Cricetulus griseus: one gene and its partners. The protein of the gene in region 2 purifies or fractionates together with the protein of the main gene of each other region. This does not show direct contact. Links are inferred from orthologs where the notes say so. Each region holds a gene or a part of one and is shown on either strand. Other genes may lie near its edges. The genes, in order: Nelfa, Nelfe and Nelfcd.

The links.
Region 1: the proteins of Nelfe (region 2) and Nelfa purify together in Homo sapiens (affinity purification with mass spectrometry; 9 studies listed by BioGRID and IntAct, counting the BioPlex papers as one, with this or other methods). This does not show direct contact. The link is inferred for Cricetulus griseus from reciprocal best matches to the Homo sapiens genes NELFE and NELFA.
Region 3: the proteins of Nelfe (region 2) and Nelfcd purify together in Homo sapiens (affinity purification with mass spectrometry; 9 studies listed by BioGRID and IntAct, counting the BioPlex papers as one, with this or other methods). This does not show direct contact. The link is inferred for Cricetulus griseus from reciprocal best matches to the Homo sapiens genes NELFE and NELFCD.

Annotation. Positions count from the first base shown.
Region 1 is NW_023276807.1:102,927,638-102,930,904, forward strand, and holds the end of Nelfa (negative elongation factor A), read right to left. Parts: intron 2,888-3,267; coding exon 2,776-2,887; intron 1,981-2,775; coding exon 1,709-1,980; intron 1,556-1,708; coding exon 1,456-1,555; intron 1,358-1,455; coding exon 1,173-1,357; 3' UTR 595-1,172; downstream 1-594. UniProt on the Homo sapiens protein: Essential component of the NELF complex, a complex that negatively regulates the elongation of transcription by RNA polymerase II.
Region 2 is NW_023276806.1:231,395,923-231,399,582, reverse strand, and holds the end of Nelfe (negative elongation factor E), read right to left. Parts: intron 3,204-3,660; coding exon 3,129-3,203; intron 3,025-3,128; coding exon 2,987-3,024; intron 2,842-2,986; coding exon 2,486-2,841; intron 2,395-2,485; coding exon 2,250-2,394; intron 2,166-2,249; coding exon 2,111-2,165; intron 1,971-2,110; coding exon 1,868-1,970; intron 951-1,867; coding exon 880-950; 3' UTR 631-879; downstream 1-630. Other genes in the region: Cfb (complement factor B), read left to right, coding at 1-99, 174-223, 433-588. UniProt on the Homo sapiens protein: Essential component of the NELF complex, a complex that negatively regulates the elongation of transcription by RNA polymerase II.
Region 3 is NC_048599.1:4,650,519-4,654,164, forward strand, and holds part of Nelfcd (negative elongation factor C/D), read right to left. Parts: intron 3,544-3,646; coding exon 3,391-3,543; intron 3,216-3,390; coding exon 3,085-3,215; intron 2,621-3,084; coding exon 2,455-2,620; intron 2,028-2,454; coding exon 1,893-2,027; intron 1,528-1,892; coding exon 1,388-1,527; intron 834-1,387; coding exon 719-833; intron 408-718; coding exon 312-407; intron 229-311; coding exon 88-228; intron 1-87. UniProt on the Homo sapiens protein: Essential component of the NELF complex, a complex that negatively regulates the elongation of transcription by RNA polymerase II.

The DNA of each region.
Region 1 (3,267 bases), on a different chromosome or scaffold from region 2:
GTCACCATATCCTGTTGAGATGTGAAATGACCTATCACAAATTAAATTTAAGTTTAAATGTGCCTATTGGTGTCTAAACTTCATACAATATAGTCAGGTTCCTTTTAGGAATGCTGGGTACTGTCACCAGATCTGATAGTGAAGGCTTAAAAACTTGAAGTTTGCGGGGGAGGGGGGAAGTAATACCGAAATATAGACAAGAATTACCAGTTGGGGGAAAAATAGCATTTAAGTGGAAAGTTGTGTTTGGAAAACTGTATTGAGTATTTTTTTATTAAAAAACTTTAAAGGCCTTTTTCTTACACTTATTTTATATGGAACTATGTTTGACTTCTCCAACTTCCTGGGTGCTATGAATTTAAGACAGCAGGCATCGGCCCATTTCCCAATGCTGCGGCCTTGACATTCCCTGTTGTTGCCCTGTGACTGTGACCTCACACCCCAAGGTTGCCCTGCCCATTGCCTACTTATTTTCAGGTAGACTCTTTATCTCCCAGCTCTGCTTCTTCTCCCCTGGGGTTCTGACAGGTGTACAGGGAGGGGGTTTGGTCCCAGAACAGGGAGCCAAGCTAGCTTGAAACATAGCTCTGTGGGCTTTCTTTAGAAAAACTAAACTTTAATACTCATATCATTTTACAATGAAAATAGTTACCCAGAGACAGGCTTGAAATGTTTACAACTGTACAAAAGACATAGAAATCCCTGGCAGTCAGTAACCGTGAGGCTGGTCATAGCCCCCCTCACGCCCTAGCCTGCCAGGTGTCACCTTTGGTCCCCTCAGCCTCAGGAGGGAAGGCATGCACAAGCAGAGAACCTCCTCTCAGCCAGTGCAGTTTTTTTAAAGAAAAAAAGAGAAGGTAATAGTCTTATCAGGCACTAAAATGAAGTTGTAACTTTTTTGGTTTAGCATTCAAAATGTAATATTGAACCCCCCAAAAAAGGTAACTTAATCACACAAAAACTAACCCATTATAATAATTATATGTATATATAAAAAATAAGCCTAAACTCCCCAGAGAAATGATCTAAAACTTAAAAACAGCCTGGGGCCCAGTAGCCTGTGAATGACAGGTGCTGGGTGGAGCACATCCTTCGGTATCTGCTCAGGTCACTTAGCATAGCCAGCAGTACTTGTCTTCTGGCCTGATGAGGGTCAGCAGCGGAGATGGCCCTTAGGACACATTTGTCATGGGCTTGTACTTCTTGAATCGTGTCCACTGGCCCGTGGCGTAGTTCATCTCGAACACTGTGTCTACTAGCATGGTGGTGCTGCCCTGGCCGTCTGCCTTGGGCAGATCCTCTGTGTGCTCGCTGAGCTTGATCTGGATCACATCCCCCTGTTCCGGGCATGGGTTCTCTGTAGGAAGCAGGGGCTGCTGGGCAGGTGCCTGGGGCCAAGGAACCCATCCCCCACCCCACGGGGGGCACCTCCCAGGCCTAGTAGCACAGACACACCTCGAGAACCAGCCATGAAGCCCAGGATGAGGGCCTTCTCTGGCCGAGTGACCTTGTTTGCCGTCTTGAACATCTCCTGGGCAGCAAACATCTGTTCTCTCTGTAAAGAGAGGACGTGAGTGTGGGAGCTGCCCAGGCCACCTTGCCTCCTCCACCCACTGGCCCTGCCAGGTTCGTCCCATAACACCCCAGCTACTAACAGGCAAAGCTATGTCATCCACCTAATGGCCATGAAACCTGCCAGGGTACTTACTGTGAGGGACAGGTTCTTCTTAGGTTGCTGCTGAACAGGGGCAGGTGCCTGGGTCTGCGGGGCCACCATGGCCACTGGGGGTGTCTGAGCAGTAGGAGTGGCAGCTGGAGGAGTAGTAGGTGTCAGAGGCGAGGTAGGTGCTGCAGGTGTTGGTGTAGCTGGGCTCAGGCCACTGTTATACATAGGTGCCCTTTGTTTAAACTGAGCTGGCAGTGTAGGACTTGGGGCACTGGGCTCCTCAGGTGGTCGGCTGGCTTCCCGGGAAGGAGGGGCTGCAAGCAAAGCACGGTTACTAAGGAGGGTTGTCCAGGAAGAGAAGTACATCCCTAATCTACTCATCCCAGACTCGTCTCCAGGCTGCCTGTACTAACACCATTTTCTGGAGAGGCAATAGGCTCTTCCAGGTTCTGGCAGCAACTGTGACCCATACCCAATTGCTGTCTTCTATCACTGCTGACCAGAAGCCCTTACTGGCCTTCACAGGCAGGGACGTGAGCCCTGTGCACTACTACCCAGCAGGGCAGAACCTATGTCCTCAGGCATTCCTAGATCCACAGATTAAGTTATCCAGGACTCTGGTTAGCTCCTGGCCTATGGTAAATTCCCCATAACCTGGGTGCTGGTGGGAAGTAGCTTCCACAAACCTCAGCAGGGCTGACCCTCGACCCACTAACAATAGACAAAGCTGAGCCCAAAGGAACCAACCACCCAAGCAACTGACTAATCCAAGCTTACATCTGACCCTGAAGGAATCATCCTTCTGTAGTATCCTTCATTTGGGAAGAGACAATCCTCAGATCCTTACCCACCCAGAGAACAGGGTACCAATCTTGGCAGCCACTTGTTCACTAAAATCAAGGACTTCTGGCTTATTTCTAGGCCAGGAGGAGTTCCCTCCATGCTGCCTGGGATCAAGAGACACTGAGACAGGTGTCTCAATGCTGAGAAGCACCATGTGAGCAAGGCTACTTCCTAGGTGCACATACTAAGCTCAGTTTCGGTAACCCCAGGGCAAGTCCTTCTATGGGCTGAGGGAATACTGGCTTAGCATACTGCAGGCTACTTACCTGGGGGGTTCTCAGAACTGGGGATGTAAGATGAGGCAGGTACCACACTGGGGGTAGAGGGCAGGTAACTTGTAGAGGGAAGTGCTGGCTCACTATTCAAAGACCCAAGTTTCTGGAAGACAAGGGCCATGATCTCTTCAGGCAAAGGTCAGGTTTCAGTATACCTCCCTGGGGTATCCTAGACAGCCTCCATCAGCCCCTGCCCATCAATGAAGCAAGATGGCAGGTACTCATATCCCCAGGACAGGGACAGTGGCTTCTCCAGGCCACTGGCTTTAGTGATACTGGACTCCAAATTTAGGCCATGGCCACCACCCCAATTGTCCCAAATTGACACCTGAGGAAAGAAGTTGAGTAATGGAAAGAGCTCAGAGACATGACCATACCATGCCACAGGGCCACACTCTGCCTCTATACATGTGTCCTCTGCACCTACGGCCCTTAAAGCCCATCTCTATTTCTACAGACAGCCTCTGGGGAAGAGCTGCTCTG
Region 2 (3,660 bases):
AAGGCTATGACAAGGTCAAGGATGTGTCTGAGGTGGTCACCCCCAGGTTCCTCTGCACTGGCGGGGTGGACCCCTATGCTGACCCCAATACTTGCAAAGGTGAGGTGGCTCTCTGGCTATGGTGAAGCCCACAGGGCCCAGCCGTCTTTCCCTACAGCTTCTCTCTTCCACAGGAGATTCTGGGGGTCCTCTCATTGTTCACAAGAGGAGCCGCTTTATTCAAGTGAGTCTGTGGGGGAGACGCCCAGGGGCCACATATACCACAAAAAGGAACGCTTGATGCACGTGGCTGACTATAAGCCAAGCATCTGGCCTATGTGCACCAAGGAAGACAGTGCGAGCTGGGCCCCTGGTGTACTGTTTTGGGTCAGCTTGGCTGCTTTATGGGATTATGAAGTGTCAAGTGACCCATGGCACCCTTCACCTGCACAGGTCGGTGTCATCAGCTGGGGCGTAGTGGATGTCTGTAAAGGGCAGAGGCGGCAACAGATGGTACCTGCTCATGCCCGGGACTTCCATGTCAACCTTTTCCAGGTGCTCCCCTGGCTCAAGGAGAAACTCAAAGATGAGGATTTGGGTTTCCTATGAGGGGCTTCCGGCTGGGAGGGGCGAGGGTCAAATTAAAACAGCTGCGATAAGGACTGTATTCTTCATCTTTTGGGGGTAAGGGGTCAGGGGGTGTGCACTGGTCATGTTGCTACAAGTAACATCAACACTGACAGCCACTTTTGAAGGTTTAACCCCGATCCCAAGTGTTGAAAGACTAGAGGCTGAAGGGGGTGAGGGAACTTCTGCCCCAGGATTTTACTGAGACCAGCTTGGGGGCATACGAGGCACAAGGAATCCAGCTTCGTGTCCTAAAAGCCATCCACAGGTTTCCTACAGATCGTCACTGTACACAATCTGGGTCCTTTTGTCCCGGTGGCAGCCCTTAGGGCTGTTCTGGACAGCTGAGGAGGGAGGAAAGGGACAATTAAGATGTCAAGCAGCTCACAGGTTAGACCTGAGGTCTGAGTCTGATTATCTCCGCCCTGGCCTTGGCCTACCAGTGCTTATGCTGCCCCCTGGTGGCCAGAGTCTCACTATGGCTTAGAGAACGCAGAACCTTGTTACTGTGCGTGAGACATGTGAATGATGAAATCATGAAATACATGAAATTAAAGATGAGAACATCTCTGTGGCCCTTGCCGGTATCCTGGTCGATTCTGGTTCCTTCCTGGTGTCTGCAGGGCCTCTTGCTCTGAAAATCTGTTTCAGGCAGAGTGGGCTGTCCACACTGAGGAACCCCACACACGTCTTCTGTGGAACCCTCAGATCCCAAGTGCTCAGCTGCTCTTTCCTTACACTCCTCAGCCAAAGGTTCCATCCTACACCTGTGGTGCCAGAGGCAGCACCCCCCCCCCCAACTCTGGTCCTGTACTCTGCCTCTGCTGACTGCCCCTCCTCCTCAGAGCCTGGGTCCATGGCCCAGGGCTTCTGGGGCTGCTCTCGGGGGATGCCTCATGGCTCCTTCAATGAAGCTGCCACTTCCTCCTGGCAGGCCAGGATTGCTGGAGACAGAGCCCAGCCAGCTTCTTAACGTACTTGATCCCCCAAACCAGTCCTGGGTCACCCTTTTCTCTACAATTCCCATTTCTTGATGGTTCCAGACTCACAATTTCAAGTTCTGACACCACCCCAGCTCAGAGGGGGCAACATGGTTCTTGCTCTACTCCCCATGCCAGTCACTCCCCTCCCCTCCCCTTCCCTCCCCTTCGACAGACAGCCTGGCAATTCTCTATCAGCTGCCTAGCGCAAACCTTCACCCTTAGCACTCTAGGGAGTAGTGTGCTGTAGAGAGGAGATGAGGGAAGAATCCCATCCTTACCAAGGGAACCCCAGACAGATTTGCCAGTAGCAGCATCCAGCATGGGCTGTTTGCGGGCTATGTTGACTTTGAGCTGCACGGATTCCACCTGGGTCCCATTGAGCTGTGGGATACAATGGGAGGACAGAGGTGGGCATTACAGGGAGCCAGGGGACCAGACAGGGCTCTGAGGACAGAGTTTTTCTCAGTCGGGAGAAGAGGTGGACAGGAGGGACAGGAGGGAGGGGTCTGAGAAGTCCCAACCTCAGCAACGGCCTGATCTGCAGACTCCATCTTTTCATAGGTGACGAAGGCACAGCTGAGGTGAGAAAAAGCGGGATCAGTAGTGGTCCATGGCCCTAGTGTCCCCACACAGCTCCCTCCCCAGGAGGCTCGTCCTTACTTTCTGGGTGGGTCCATGGAGAGGTCAATGATGTTTCCAAAGGGAGAGAAGGCCCCTCGGAGGAGGGTGGGCGTCATGTCCTCTCCATACACATAAAGTGTGTTCCCCTTCCGAGGGGCCCTCCTTTCGGGGAATGAGTCTGACCCTGTGGGTCAGGAATTACAGTCATTCACTACTGAGTCCCAGTCACCCCCCTCTTTAGCAGGGCCCACCTAACCCTGGCCAAAAGCACGCACTGCGGAAAGGGCCCTCGCGCTCTCGGTCCCGTTCGCGGTCTCTGTCTCGATCCCGGTCTTTATCTTTGTCCCGGTCTCTGTCTTTGTCTCTGTCCCGGTCTCTGTCTTTATCTCTGTCACGGTCTCTGTCTCTATCCCGGTCTTTGTCTCGGTCTTTGTCCCGGTCCCTATCTCGGCTCCTCTCATGACTTCGGTCGCGGCTGCGGCTTCGGGGAGGGGACGCTGAGGAGCGGGCACCACCATGTTCTTCGTAGCTCCAGTCAAAACCTCGGGGTGGGCCATCACCAGCCCCGGGGCCCTCTGATTCTTCTCCATCTGGTCCCAGTTCCCGCAACCGATCGCTAGAAGACACAAAGCTGGGGAGAGGCAGACAGTAAGGACAAGGGGGCTCCATCTTCTTACAGACACACTCCGCCTGCAGCCTGCTCCTTCCACTCCAGCCCTGAACCTTCCAATGACTCTGGCCACTGACCCCACAGCAAACTGTGGCTTCTCTCTAACCTTTCATATAGAGATTTCCTTTGGGGACGTCTGGATGACTGAGGGGGGGAAAAAGAAGATAAAGAACAATTAATATGATTCCCAGGTGCTCGAACGGGATCCAAAATCTGTGGGTCTTTTGTCTTCAACCCCGGCCATTTACCTCCTGCAGGTCCTCATCAGCAGATACGCTCCTCTGGAACGGCTGGAAAGTGGGGGCAGGCCCCTTCTCAGGGTCCTGGGAAGGGATAGACACCCATGTTAGTGTGGACCAGCAGAGTTCCTCTTCCCTCTCTTCTTGGCTTCTCTTGATGATGCTGGTCTTTTTTTTTTTCCCCTTGGTTTTTTCTTTGGTTTTTGCCTATGTCTCCTGAGAGCTGGGGTTAAAGGCGTGCGCCACCAACGCCCAGCGATGATGCTTGTCTTTTTGTTTGTTTTCGAGTCAGGGTTTCTCTGTGTAGCTTTGGAGTCTATCCTGGCACTTGCTCTGTAGATAGGCTGGTCTTGAACTCACAGAGATCTGCCTGTCTCTGCCTCCCGAGTGCCGAGATTAAAGGCGTGCTGCCACCACCTGGCTTGCTATGCTATTTTAAAATAAGGGTTTGGTTTACTCAACCCTCAATCCCACCCTAGCAGCACCAATGTGGAAAACAGAAACGTAGGAGCCACCTAGGTTTCCTGAGTAACAGATAAGA
Region 3 (3,646 bases), on a different chromosome or scaffold from region 2:
TCAGAGTTGGGAACCGCAGAGATGACATGAAGCCTGAAGGGCTGGGCTACTGAACTGAGTGAGCCCTGAAGCCCTGGTGCTACTGACCTCAGTGACGAAGTAGCGAATGAGTGAGATGTCGGTGTCCAGCTTCTCCAGGCACTTGCGGATATAACTGACCACAGGAAGCACATAGCCACGGCTCAGCAGGTGGACCATCCTGTCCAGCAGGGTCTTTTTCAACTCGAGCTGTGGAAGAGCAGGGCCAGGGGAGCAGGTCAGAGCTGGCAGAGGCTTTCCCAAGCCCCAACAAGCCCCGGGGTGCAGCTCACCTGCTCCATTACGTCCAGCTGGGAGTGTTCAGTCTCAAAAAGCTTAACAAGCAGCTGCAGAACCTGGGGATGCAGGAGCTGGTGGCAGGTGCTGATCTGTGGGCAGCCAAGGAGGTGGCACTGAGGCACCTACTGGTTCTCTGGGCTCACTAGCAGTACACAGGGAATGCACGGGATTGTCCAGCCAACCAAGGTGGCTCACCACTGACGGGGACAGCACTCATCAGGTTCTAGGCCTCCCTTCTGGTAACACCTGATAGACACATCTACAGGGTTCTTGAAAGGAGAGCCTCCCACCGGACACAAACCACCAGCTCTGAAGAGAGTGTCTCCTAACCTTACCTCAGGGCAAAGATCCAAGACACAGACCGCCGTATACCTCACAAGTGGCCCTTCCGTCCCCTTACCTCATCCAGCAAGGCCAGGTGAACTGGTGTGTGGTCAGTCTGTAGCTGGAAGTATCTCGGTTCTGACACCGTCCAATCTACCCACTTCAGGACACCCATCGCCACTACCGGGAACCTACAGAAAGATAAGGTACGAGGCTTCCTTTGACCAAGAACAGGGGAAAGGAGGCTGAAATACACCAAGGAACAATAAAGGGTTGGGAAGCAAGGACAGACAAAGTCTGGGGAACCCCCAGTGACACTCCCTTCACTCTGGCCTGCAGGAGTGGCTCACGGCGGAAGTGGTTTGATGAGACCAACTCCTTCAGAAGGGATTTGATCCTCAGCTCCTTCAGACCCTCCAGAACCGAAAAGGAAATGATCACCAGTACAAAAGCCTGGGCTCACACTCCCCCTTATTTCAGAGTCTTGGCTTAGTAGCTTTACTACTTTCTTTAAATCAATTTTCTAATTCTGGATGTCCTTTCTCTGCTCTGTGGGGGTCTGCTGAACAGATTCCTGGCCAAAGAGCACCTAAAAACACTCATGCTGCCGCAGCTAACTTCTCCATGTGTGCTAAGAATGAGAAACCTGAGCTCTTGCTGGCTCCACATCAGAGTGCACCCTCCAACCATGGGGACAGGAGGACTGGCACCCCAGGGACCGGATGGAGACGGGGGACACACTCACCTAATGCACTGATAGAGTGTACTCAGCTCGGCTACCAGCTCGGAGGCCCCTTTGTTCTCATTGCAACACAAATTGTGGACAGTTTCTACAGCCTTCGACGTGGACTTCAGCTCATCTTTGCCAATGCTAACCCGCTTGTTCTGAAACCATACAAGCTGGTGAGTGATGATGGGAGTGTGGCCTTGCTGTGGGGTACCCCGGGATGGCCCCTTCCCTATCTGCAGAGTCAAAAGTCAATTCAACTGTCAAACTGCACAGTCACACAGCCCACAGAAACCAGGAGTCACAGGCTGCTGTGTGGGAGGCTCAAGAAACTCAACTGGATCCCACTACCCAGTCCTAGTGTAAAGGATGTCACAAAACCCTGCAGGCACTGAGCTCTTTCGGGATCTTGTACACAATGGTAAAGGCATTTTCACTGCTACACGGGCTTGAGGTTCTTGCAGCCAAATCCCCACACAGTACCAGAGCCGAGGAGGCCACAGGTTCTTAGCGCCGACAGTACCTTCTTCCAGGTCTCCACCACGCTAGCGGCGTAAGCCAGGATGTGGATGTATTTGTGCTTGTGGTCCTGGTTGATCTTGGCTCCTGGCTTGAACAGTGACTGCATGAACAGATCCAGGAAGGCAGGTACCCGGATCTAAGGAGAGGCATACTCGGGAGTGGGCTGGAAGGAGGGAGGCCCTGGCTCACCCACCTGTAGGGCTCTGACAGGGTGAAGGCTGAAGGAAAGGGTGGAAATGGAGAGCTCAAGAGCACAGGGCGTACCTCTGTGGTGAAACATTTGCCTAGAATGTGACAGGTACTGGCTTCAATTCTAGTAGTGCCAGCCAAGTTAGGAGGAGGGCTTATGCCAGGTGTAGCTGTGCCTGTATCCCCTAGCACCCAGCGAAGCCAGGGCAGGAGGGCCAGCCCAGTTTGAGACCAGCTTGACTCTAATGATGAAAACTATTTCCACAGGGACCAGCAGGCATGGCCTGAAGAGAATGAGGGGACCTGGAGGCCTCCCCGAGCCACCCTGACACCTGGCGTGGGGCACCTGGCCTCACGAAGCATAGGCAGCTTACGAGCTCCACAGGAGGAGGGTCCATGCTGGTGAACATCTTGAACAAGACTGTGATGTCTGCAGGGTTCAGTGCTCCCCTGGACAGCATGGCGCCGAGAGCTTGGCAGGCCCGGGGGTAGGAGGCAGCTGTGCCCAAGGCCAGCGTGATCTGACTGGCGTCATGGCCTCTGGTTGGAAAGTCACACACCATCACTAACAGCTTTCTTTTTTCTTTCACTTTTAAACATTCACTGCTGAGCTGGTGGGGACCCCTGTGATTTCCCACAGTTCTGTCATTTACTCTTTTGACTAACTGACCCCTGGGAACAACAGCTACAATGAGCTGCGAAAGACTCTGATGTAGCTGTAACCTCCAGGAGGGATTCTCACACCCTGCACACCTCATTAGGGAAGACTTGGCAGCAGAAAATGAGCACCTCGGACTCCATGAAGAAGCAGGGCACTGGAGACCAGGCCAGGGCTTTTCTGCTGTTCAATGTCTCCTAGCACAAGCGAGCACAAGTGCCCACAGCACGTACCACGTTCTTAGCAAAGAGCCAACAGCACAGCCCTCTACTAGGCCCAGCCGTGGACTAGGACCACAGCTTTTCTGAGGATAAAGAAGAGCAGGGCAAGTGAAAGCATCTCTTACTTCTCCTGGGCGAAGCGCTGGACTTCCTGAGCGACCCTGCGCACTGCAGAGCCACCCTGCTCCTCCTGGGCCAGCACGGACATCATGGCCTGTGCAAACAGGTATGTGTGCTCCCCATGGCACACCATCTTCTACAAGGTTGCAGGGAGACAAAGTTCAGGTCACAGGGCTAAATGCAGACAAAAGGGGTTCTGGCCAGGGTTCTCTGACCTGGAGGTGCTTTACGGGGAGGGGGGAGGGGGACGGGACACTCCCAAAGCCCGACCTCAGGCAACCCCCTTCCACCTGAGACTCAGAGGGGCTTACTGCAAACTCAGGAAGATTTTTCTCGAGGTTTTCCTCTCCTCCATCCAAGATGGTGGCTAGAGAGGTCCGGAGCACTCTGGAGAACACTTCCAACTGCTGGCAGGCTGTGGACACGCTGGTGATCTCCCCTTGGTACCCCGCATCAGAAATGAGCTGCCATATAACCCAAAGGCCAAGGTCAGCATCTGGGGACCCCACTTTCAGAGCGGTTAGTTAGTCAACCACATATCATGAGTGAGCCAAGCAAGCACTGGTT